2 linked regions of the Macaca mulatta genome follow. The protein of the gene in region 1 binds, or shares a complex with, the protein of each later gene. Links are inferred from orthologs where the notes say so. Each region holds a gene or a part of one and is shown in the gene's direction. Other genes may lie near its edges. The genes, in order: BCL2L1 and BAD.

Region 1 (3,802 bases):
AGCCTGGTTAACATGGTAAAACCCCGTCTCTACTAAAAATACAAAAATTAGCTAGGCGTGGTGGTGGGCGCTACTCAGGAGGCTGAGGCGGGAGAATGGCTTCAACCCTGGAGGTCTAGGTTGCAGTGAGCCAAGATTGCACCACTGCACTCCATCCTGGGCGACAGAGCAAGACTTTGTCTTAAAAAAAAAAGACACATCTAGTATGGAAGACACATCACAACAAAAACAAAGTACAGAATCTAGTCATGAAAAGTGCTGGGAGTGGGTGCAGCTTAAGGGGGTAAAAAAGTGGTGAGGTGGTGAGGCCAGGCATGGTGGCTCACACCTGTAATCCCAGCACTTGGGAGGCTGAGGCAGAAGGATCCCTTGAGCCCAGGAGTTTGAGACCAGCCTAGGCAACAAAGTGAGACCCTGTCTCTACAAAAAATTTAGAAATTTAGCCAGGCATGGTGGTGTGTGCCTATAGTGGCAGCTATTCAGGAGGCTGAGGCAGGAGGATCGCTTGAGCCCAGGAGGTCAAGACTGCAGTGAGCCATGATTGTGCCGCTATAGTCTGGGTAACAGAGCGAGACCGTGTCACAAAAATTTAAAAATAAGAAAATGAAGCGCCGAGAAGAAAAGCTGGCACGGTGGTCATTCTGTGTAGTGTAGTTCCTGTAATCAGGAGGCTGAGGCAGGAAGATTGCTTGAGTCCAGGAGTTCAAAGTCAATCTGGATACATCTTTTAAAAACAAGAAAAAAAAATGGTAGCCATGCGTGGTGGCTTATGCCTGTAATCCCAGCACTTTGGGAGGCTGAGGCAAGCGGATCACCTGAGGTTGGGAGTTTGAAACCAGCCTGACCAATGTGGAGAAACCCCGTCTCTACTAAAAATACAAAATCAGCCGGGCGTGGTGGCGCGCGCCTGTAATCCCAGCTACTCTGGAAGCTGAGGCAGGAGAATTGCTTGAACCTGGGAGGCGGAGGTCGTGGTGAGCCGAGACTGCACCATTGTACTCCAGCCTGGGCAACAAGAGCGAAACTCCGTCTCAAAAAAAAAAAAAAAAAAAAAAAAAAGGCCAGATATGTTTGGTGGCTCACGCCTGTAATCCTAGCGCTTTGGGAGGCCGAGGCGGGCGGATCGCTTGAGGTCAGGAGTTCAAGACCAGCCTGGCCAATATGGCAAAACCCTGTCTCTACTAAAAATACAAAAATTAGCTGGGCATGGTGGCACATGCCTGTAATCCCAGCTACTCAGGAGAATCGCTTGTACCCGGGAAGCGGAGGTTGCTATGAGCCCAGATTGTGCCATTGCACTCCAACCTGGGGGACAGAGAAAAACTGTGTCTAAAAAAAGAAAAAAAGAAACAACTAAGAAGAAAAATCAAGGAAGGTAAGGGGAGGACAGGCAGAGAGAGATGGGGGTGGTATACTGTTTTAGACAAGGCAGTCAGGGAAGGTCTCACCTAGGAGGTGACATTTGAGGGGAGTCATGGTTGTGAAATGATGGAGTGAGGCAGGCGCTGACCTGGGGTCAGGTGCTCCAGGCAAGTGGGAACAGCAGACTCCTGTGGCAGGAGACATTGGAGGAACAGCAAGGAGGCCAGTGAGACTGGAGTGAAGTGTGCGGGGACAGGGGTGGGGAGGAGGCCAGAAAGTGTTAGAGCCAGATCCCACTAGACCTTGCTGACCAGGGTAAGGAGTGGGGACTTTGTTTCAGGTGTGATGGAAGCCCTGGGAAGGTTGAGAACTTGGAGTGACTGAATGGAGTGTGCTTGTGCGAGGGCTGAGATTCATGGGTCACTGCTCTCTACTGGCTTAATGTTGAGGATTCCTTCAGTCAAGTTAGCACCTCAGTGCATATGGCATTTTGCTAGGTACCAGGTATACAAAAATAATGATGCTGGCCTTCTAAGTGCAGGAGAAAGCTGCTGGAGGGCTTCAAGCATAGGTGTGCTATGATCTGACCTGTGTTTTTAGAAATCTCTGTGTGGAGCATAGACTGAGGGGGTTGTCAAGACTGGAAGTGGGCCCAGGCAGGGGTCACAAGTGAGCAAATTGGTAGGTGAGACCTGAGGCCAACTGGAGATGGCATGCCCTGACGGAGCAGCCACTCGCCTGTTTGGGACCGGTTGGAAATGTAGGCCCAGTGTGGCAGAGGTCTTGGTAGAGAGGCAAGAATCAGCCAGTAACTCATTCATTTTACACACACACACACACACACACACACACGGAACTTACTTTTTTGTTGTTGTTATTGTTGAGACGGAGTCTCTGTCACCCAGGCTGGAGTGCAGTGGTATGATTTCTGCTCCCTGCAACCTCCACCTCCCAGGTTCAAACAATTCTCGTGCCTTAGCCTCCTGAGTAACTGGGATTACAGGTGCGTGCTACCACACCTGGCTAATTTTTGTATTTTTAGTAGAGACGGGGTTTCACCATGTTGGCCAGACTTGTCTTAACTCCTGACCTCAGGCGATCCACCCGCCTCAGCCTCCCAAAGTGCTGGGATTATAGGCATGAGCCACCACACCCAGCCTGGAACTTCTTTCTTACATATTTCTAGGTGCCAGACACCAGTTTTGGATTCTGGCTCCACCACTGACACAGATGGGTGACCTTGATCTAGTCCTTGGGTCCTTGGCCCTTGGGCACAGCTTCTTGGCCTGTAAATGGGGAGAGACAGCCTGCATTGCAGAATTGTTGGGAGGATTAAAGGACAAATTGGGTACAATGCTTACTCATAAAAAAGTATGTTCTAAGTGTCCCTCTCCCTGCCCCACAGGCTGCTGCACCCTGGGCTGGGTAGTTTAGCCCACAGCTCCTCCTTCCCCCTATCATGTGCTTCCCTTCTGACTTAGATTCGGAGCAGAGGGCTGTTGATCACAACCTCCTGGGCGCAGAGTCACACTCCCTGCAGTGGAGGACAGGGACAAGGCCTCACAGACCCCATCATGGAGGCCTCTCAGTCCTGCGTCATTGTTACCCTCTCTTCTCTGCCGTGCTCTTCTCATCACCAACCTGCCCACCAGAGACTCCCTCCAGAGGGAGGAGCCTCTGGCTGAAGTCCCAGGACCCAGTCTACCCCTGAATTGGCCCCAAATCACCCTGGGGATTTAGCCCTGGGCTTCCTTGTCCCTCCCTCTGGTGCAGCAGTAGAAAGTCTGAGGCCTAGTGTCTCCACACTCCACACTACCCTCAGACTCAACTCCAGGCTCCTCGCGGCTTCCAGGCCACACATGGTCTGGCTCCTGCTCACCCCTGCACCATCATCTCCCCCATGCCCTCTTCTCCTGCACTCTGCTCCAGTCACCTGGCTTCCATCAGTTCCCTGACCCTGCCCATCTCGTTCCCACCTTGGATTCTGGAGAAAGTGCTACTTGCTGACCTCAGGGCACTTTCCTCCTCTCTACCTGTTTTCTGAGCAGTAACATGGTTTGGTTATCACCAACTGAGGGTCAAGAAAGAGGACCACCCTTAGCCCTTTACCTGGCCCAGAGTGGGCACGGATGGCTACAGTTTTTCATGTCACCAAGGCCATAGCATGCACATGGCCCCTTTCCCCACCCACCTACATTACTCTGAGAATTCAAACTGCGCCTTCCTTCTCTCTCCCTGCAGGACACTTTTGTGGAACTCTATGGGAACAATGCAGCAGCCGAGAGCCGAAAGGGCCAGGAGCGCTTCAACCGCTGGTTCCTGACGGGCATGACTGTGGCCGGCGTGGTTCTGCTGGGCTCACTCTTCAGTCGGAAATGACCAGACACTGACTATCCACTCTACCCTCCCACCCTCTGCCCCACCACATCCTCCGTCCAGC
Region 2 (4,441 bases), on another chromosome or scaffold:
TGGGGGAGGCTCTCCTCCAGTAATGCGGATGGGGAGGGCCTCTGCCTTCTGTCCTTGTAATTCTCGAAAGCTGCCCCCCGCCCCACCCCCCCCACCGCGTCCACTCTCCAGCCTCAAGGGGCGGGAGGAGGCGGATGCCAGGTCCTCAGGCCGCTGATGGGAGAGCCGGCTCAGGTCGTGGGGACCCGGGGCTCCGGCTCCCCGGCTCCCGCTGCTCCGCCCCCTCCTGCGCCTGCGCGGGCGCTGTTCGCTACGCAAATTGCGCAGGGGCCCGACCGGCTCCGCAGTCCAGCGCCGCACCCGGCGTGAAACCGTACGAGAATTGGCGCGAGCTGCGCCGCTGGCGGGCGCCCGGGGTTACGGGAGGCGGCTGGAGGGCGGCCGAATTGCGGGGGCCGTGCCGCATCCAGGGGGTCCCCGGGTGGGCTGTGCCTGGGCGGTCCGCCTTAACTTGTATGGGGGGCCGGCAATTCCCACGCTCCTCTCTCCTATACCCAAATCGGGGTCGTACCACCCAGCCGGGGGCGGCAACGGATTCCCGTCCCTCGGCCTCTGAAGAAAACTTCCGCCCATAGCCAAGATGGCCCCCGGGCCCCGCCCCCGGGCCTGAACCCGCGGAGCCCCGAATCCCCAGCGCGGGCCCGCCCCCCGCCCCGGCGCGCCCGCGGCCCTGCTCACCTGGCCGGCCGCCTGCCAGGCCTGAAGCCCCCACGGACCCTACGGTCCACCCTCACCGGGTCCCCGGCCCTCCTCCCGCGCCCGGGCAGCCATCCCAGCCAGGGAGGAGGTTCCTCTCCTTATCTCCAGTGCCCCCGAGGTGGCGCGGGAGGTGTCCCCCGAGGCGGGCGGCGCGAAGCTTCCACGCCTGGGAGGAGGAGCGGGGAGCGGGACTTTCCGACCGGGCACCCAGTCCAGGCGGAGCGGTAACAATAGCAACAATAATCGCATCCGACGGCTGAGCTTCAGTTGTGGCTGTGCCAAGCGCCTTCGCCCGCAGTAATCACTCCCTTCACAAAGTTTTCACTGGCTCCTGGGGGAGCTGTCACTATCCCCACTTCACTGGGGGGAAACTAAGGTCCAGAGGGGCTGAAGGACTTGTTGGCAGAAGTGGGTCTCCAGGTTCCAAATGGGGACCCCAGAGAATCCCTCTCCTGCTCCCACACACGTCCAAGGTGTGAGGCAGCGAGGATGTGAGCACCAGGGCTGCAGGAGGGAGAAAAAAGGCTGCGGGCGAGTAGCCGTAGGTCCGGCGGGGGGGCGGGGCCGGGCCGGGTTGACCCCGCCTCTGGACCTACCCGAGTGACGTTCCGAGAGGTGATTGGGCCAGGTCGCTGACAGTTCCCGTTGCCCAAGCAACTAGGGCCGGGAGCCCGGGGTGCAGGAGGGAGGCGGCAGGCCCGGGTCAGGGGCCTCGAGATCGGGCTTGGGGTGAGACCTGTGCGCCGTCACCACGGGCGGGGCGGGGCCTGGGTAGGGGCCTGGGTCCACCAGGGTTCTGAGGGGAGATTGAGGCCCTGAGCCGACAGCATCAGCTCCCTGCCAGGCCAGACCCAGCAGACAAATGAGGGCCCGGGAGGCCTGGCGGGCCTGGGGGCCCTAGGGTGGGAGAGGGAGCCAAGGGTACCTACCTCTGCCTTCCAGGGCCACCGTTGGCCCCAGCTGTGCCTTGACTACCTAACATCTTGTCCTCATAGCCCAGAGCATGTTCCAGATCCCAGAGTTTGAGCCTAGTGAGCAGGAAGACTCCAGCTCTGCAGAGAGGGGCCTGGGCCCCAGCCCCGCGGGGGACAGGCCCTCAGACTCCGGCAAGCATCATCGCCAGGCCCCAGGCCTCCTGTGGGACGCCAGTCACCAGCAGGAGCAGCCAACCAGCAGCAGCCATCATGGAGGTAAGTACCCCACCACCTCCACCTGCCGGGTCACCTCACCCCCAGCCCACTGGCTCCCTGCATCCCAGTTGTATCCACGGGCACTGAAGGCTTTGGGTCGGTCCCTAACCTCTCAGAGCCCCAGTTTCCTCTTTTGTAAAACAGAGCAATTAATAACCACCATTGTAGGACTGTTGAGTTAATTAGCAGGAACATATAGGATGCACTTGATTACAGAGCTGGTGCACATTAAAGCTAAAAAATGGTAGCTGCCAGGCATGACGGATCACACCTGTAATCCCAGCACTTTGGGAGGCCAAGGCAGGAGGATCGCTTGAGCCCAGAAGTTCAAAGCCAGCCTGGGTGACTTAGGGAGACTCCATCTCTTAAAATATGTATATATATATATGGCAGCTATTAGTGTGGGGCCAGGACAGAAATTAGTGACAGGCAGGCAGGCAGTGATCCGAAAAGGAAAAGGGGCCTACCTAAGGCCATACCTGCCTGGCATTTCTTTCCTTAGAAGGTGGGGGCTGGAAGACTCCTTGGTGCCCTGCCCCAGGCTACATGCTTTCCCTGGGATTGGGCCTTCCAGCTCCCAGATGTGTTCTTTCTTGCCCCGAGGCTTGCGCCCACAGCAGGCCTGTCCTGGCACAAAGGCCAGGGGCAGGTGACCTCAAGGGGCAGACGGTCCTCCCAGACAGCAGGGCTGTGTGGGGTGGGAAGCACAGGCTCCAAGATGGAAGGATAGACACTGGGGTTCAGTGTCCATTTCTCAGTAGGCTCCACCACCCCTGTGCCCAGCACTGGCCTTGGCACCTGGAACAACAACATATATCTTCTGAACACAAAAACCAGGTCAAGCCAGGTGGGGTGGCCCATGTCTGTAGTCCCAGCAGCTCAGGAGGCTGGCTTGAGCCCAGGAATTCAAGACCAACCTGGGCAACATAGCCAGACCCCATCTCTAAAAATAGAAAACTAGGTCATGTCACTCTGGCACTGAAGCTTAAACGACCTCCTTCCCATTTTCAGGATTAAGAAGGCTTAAGAGGCCTCCCCTCCCTCTCTTACGCACAAACACACACACTCAATTCTCTCAGATTGGATCCCATAGCTTGCTTTCTTTTTTTGTTGTTGTTGTTTTGTTTGTTTTGAGACAGGGTCTCGCTCTATCACCTAGGAGGGAGTACAGAGGTGTGGAGTACAGAGGTGTGACCTCAGCTCACTGCAGCCTAGAACTTCTGGGCTTAAGCGATCCTCCCACCTTACCCTCCCAAGTAACTGGGAATACAGGTGTGTGGACTACACCTAGTTAATTTATTTTTAACTTTTTCTTTTTTTTTTTTTTCTGAGACAGAGTCTCACTCTGCCACCCAGGCTGGAGTGCAGTGGTGCAATCTCAGCTCACTGCAACCTCCGCCTCCTGGGTTCCAGCAATTCTCCTGCCTCAGTCTTTCAGGTAGCTGGGACTACAGGCATGTGTCACCATGCCCGGCTAATTTTTTGTATTTTTAGTAGACATAGGGTTTCACCATGTTAGCCAGGGTGGTCTCTATCTCCTGACCTTGTGATCCGCCCGCCTCGGCCTCCCAAGGTGTTGGAATTACAGGCGTGAGCCACCACGCCCGACATTTTTCATGTTTTCATTAGAGACGAGGGCAGGGGCGGGTCTCCTTTTGTTGCCCAGGCAGGTCTCAAACTCCTGGGCTCAAACAATCCTCCTGCCTCAGCCTCCAGAACAGCTGGGACCACAGGTACATGCTGCCACACCAGCTCATTTTTTATTTTTTGTAGAGGTGGGGTCTTGCTTTGTTGCCCAGCCTGGTCTCGAATTCCTGGGCCCAAGCGATCCTCTCATCTTGGCCTCCCAGAGTGTTGGGATTACTGGCGTGAGCCACCATGCTCGGCCTCCACAGCTTTCTTTAACTTTCTGAGCTTGCACTTGGCTGTTTTTCTGCTCACAAACTCCCCCTGCTTTCTGCCCCCCGCCACACACACTCAGCATTGACTTGTGTCTCAGAGTGAGTGTTCACCATGTGACACAGGTTGTTCCAGTTGCTAGGGGGACCTCGGTGAACCCAAGCATCAGGAATCCTTGCCCTCGTGGAGCTTACGTTCTAGTGACGTGGTGGGTCCATAAGCAAACAAGCACAAAAGTGCATCCTATCATGGATGAGAAGATTTGTATGGGGGCAGCATGTAAGAGTTAAAAGAAGCTGGGCACGGAGGCTTACACCTGTAATTTCAACACTTTGGGAGGCTGAGGCAAGCGGATCACAAGGTCAAGACATGGAGACCAGCCTGGCCAACATGGTGAAACCCCATCTCTACTAAAAATACAAAAATTAGCCAAGCATGGTGGCATGCACCTATAGTCCCAGCTACTCAGGAGGCTGAGGCAGGAGAATCACTTGAACCCGGGAGGCGGAGGTTGCAGTGAGCCAAGATCACACCACTGCACTCCAGCCTGGCAACAGAGTGAGACTCCGTCTCAAAAAAAAAAAAAAAAAAGAGTTAAGAGAATCCAGAGTCACGGGGCTGGGGGAGTGATGGTAGCAGAGGTGGTCAACACT

Evidence for each region.
Region 2: the proteins of BCL2L1 (region 1) and BAD are in contact, whole or in part, in a crystal structure (PDB 2BZW), measured with the Mus musculus proteins. The link is inferred for Macaca mulatta from reciprocal best matches to the Homo sapiens genes BCL2L1 and BAD. Residues at the interface, in NP_001276645.1 of Mus musculus: Ala93, Glu96, Phe97, Arg100, Tyr101, Arg103, Ala104, Phe105, Leu108, Gln111, Leu112, Gln121, Ser122, Gln125, Val126, Glu129, Leu130, Arg132, Asp133, Asn136, Trp137, Gly138, Arg139, Val141, Ala142, Phe146, Asp193, Leu194, Tyr195, Gly196; in NP_031548.1 of Mus musculus: Ala137, Leu141, Ala143, Ala144, Gln145, Tyr147, Gly148, Arg149, Leu151, Arg152, Met154, Ser155, Asp156, Glu157, Phe158, Glu159, Phe162, Lys163.

What each region holds. Positions count from the first base shown.
Region 1 is NC_133415.1:84,489,074-84,492,875, reverse strand, and holds part of BCL2L1 (bcl-2-like protein 1), read left to right. Parts: intron 1-3,603; coding exon 3,604-3,741; 3' UTR 3,742-3,802. UniProt on the Homo sapiens protein: Potent inhibitor of cell death. Inhibits activation of caspases. Appears to regulate cell death by blocking the voltage-dependent anion channel (VDAC) by binding to it and preventing the release of the caspase activator, CYC1, from the mitochondrial membrane.
Region 2 is NC_133419.1:10,113,604-10,118,044, forward strand, and holds the start of BAD (bcl2-associated agonist of cell death), read left to right. Parts: upstream 1-1,370; 5' UTR 1,371-1,428; intron 1,429-1,694; 5' UTR 1,695-1,702; coding exon 1,703-1,889; coding exon of another isoform or gene 1,890-1,893; intron 1,894-4,441. UniProt on the Homo sapiens protein: Promotes cell death. Successfully competes for the binding to Bcl-X(L), Bcl-2 and Bcl-W, thereby affecting the level of heterodimerization of these proteins with BAX. Can reverse the death repressor activity of Bcl-X(L), but not that of Bcl-2.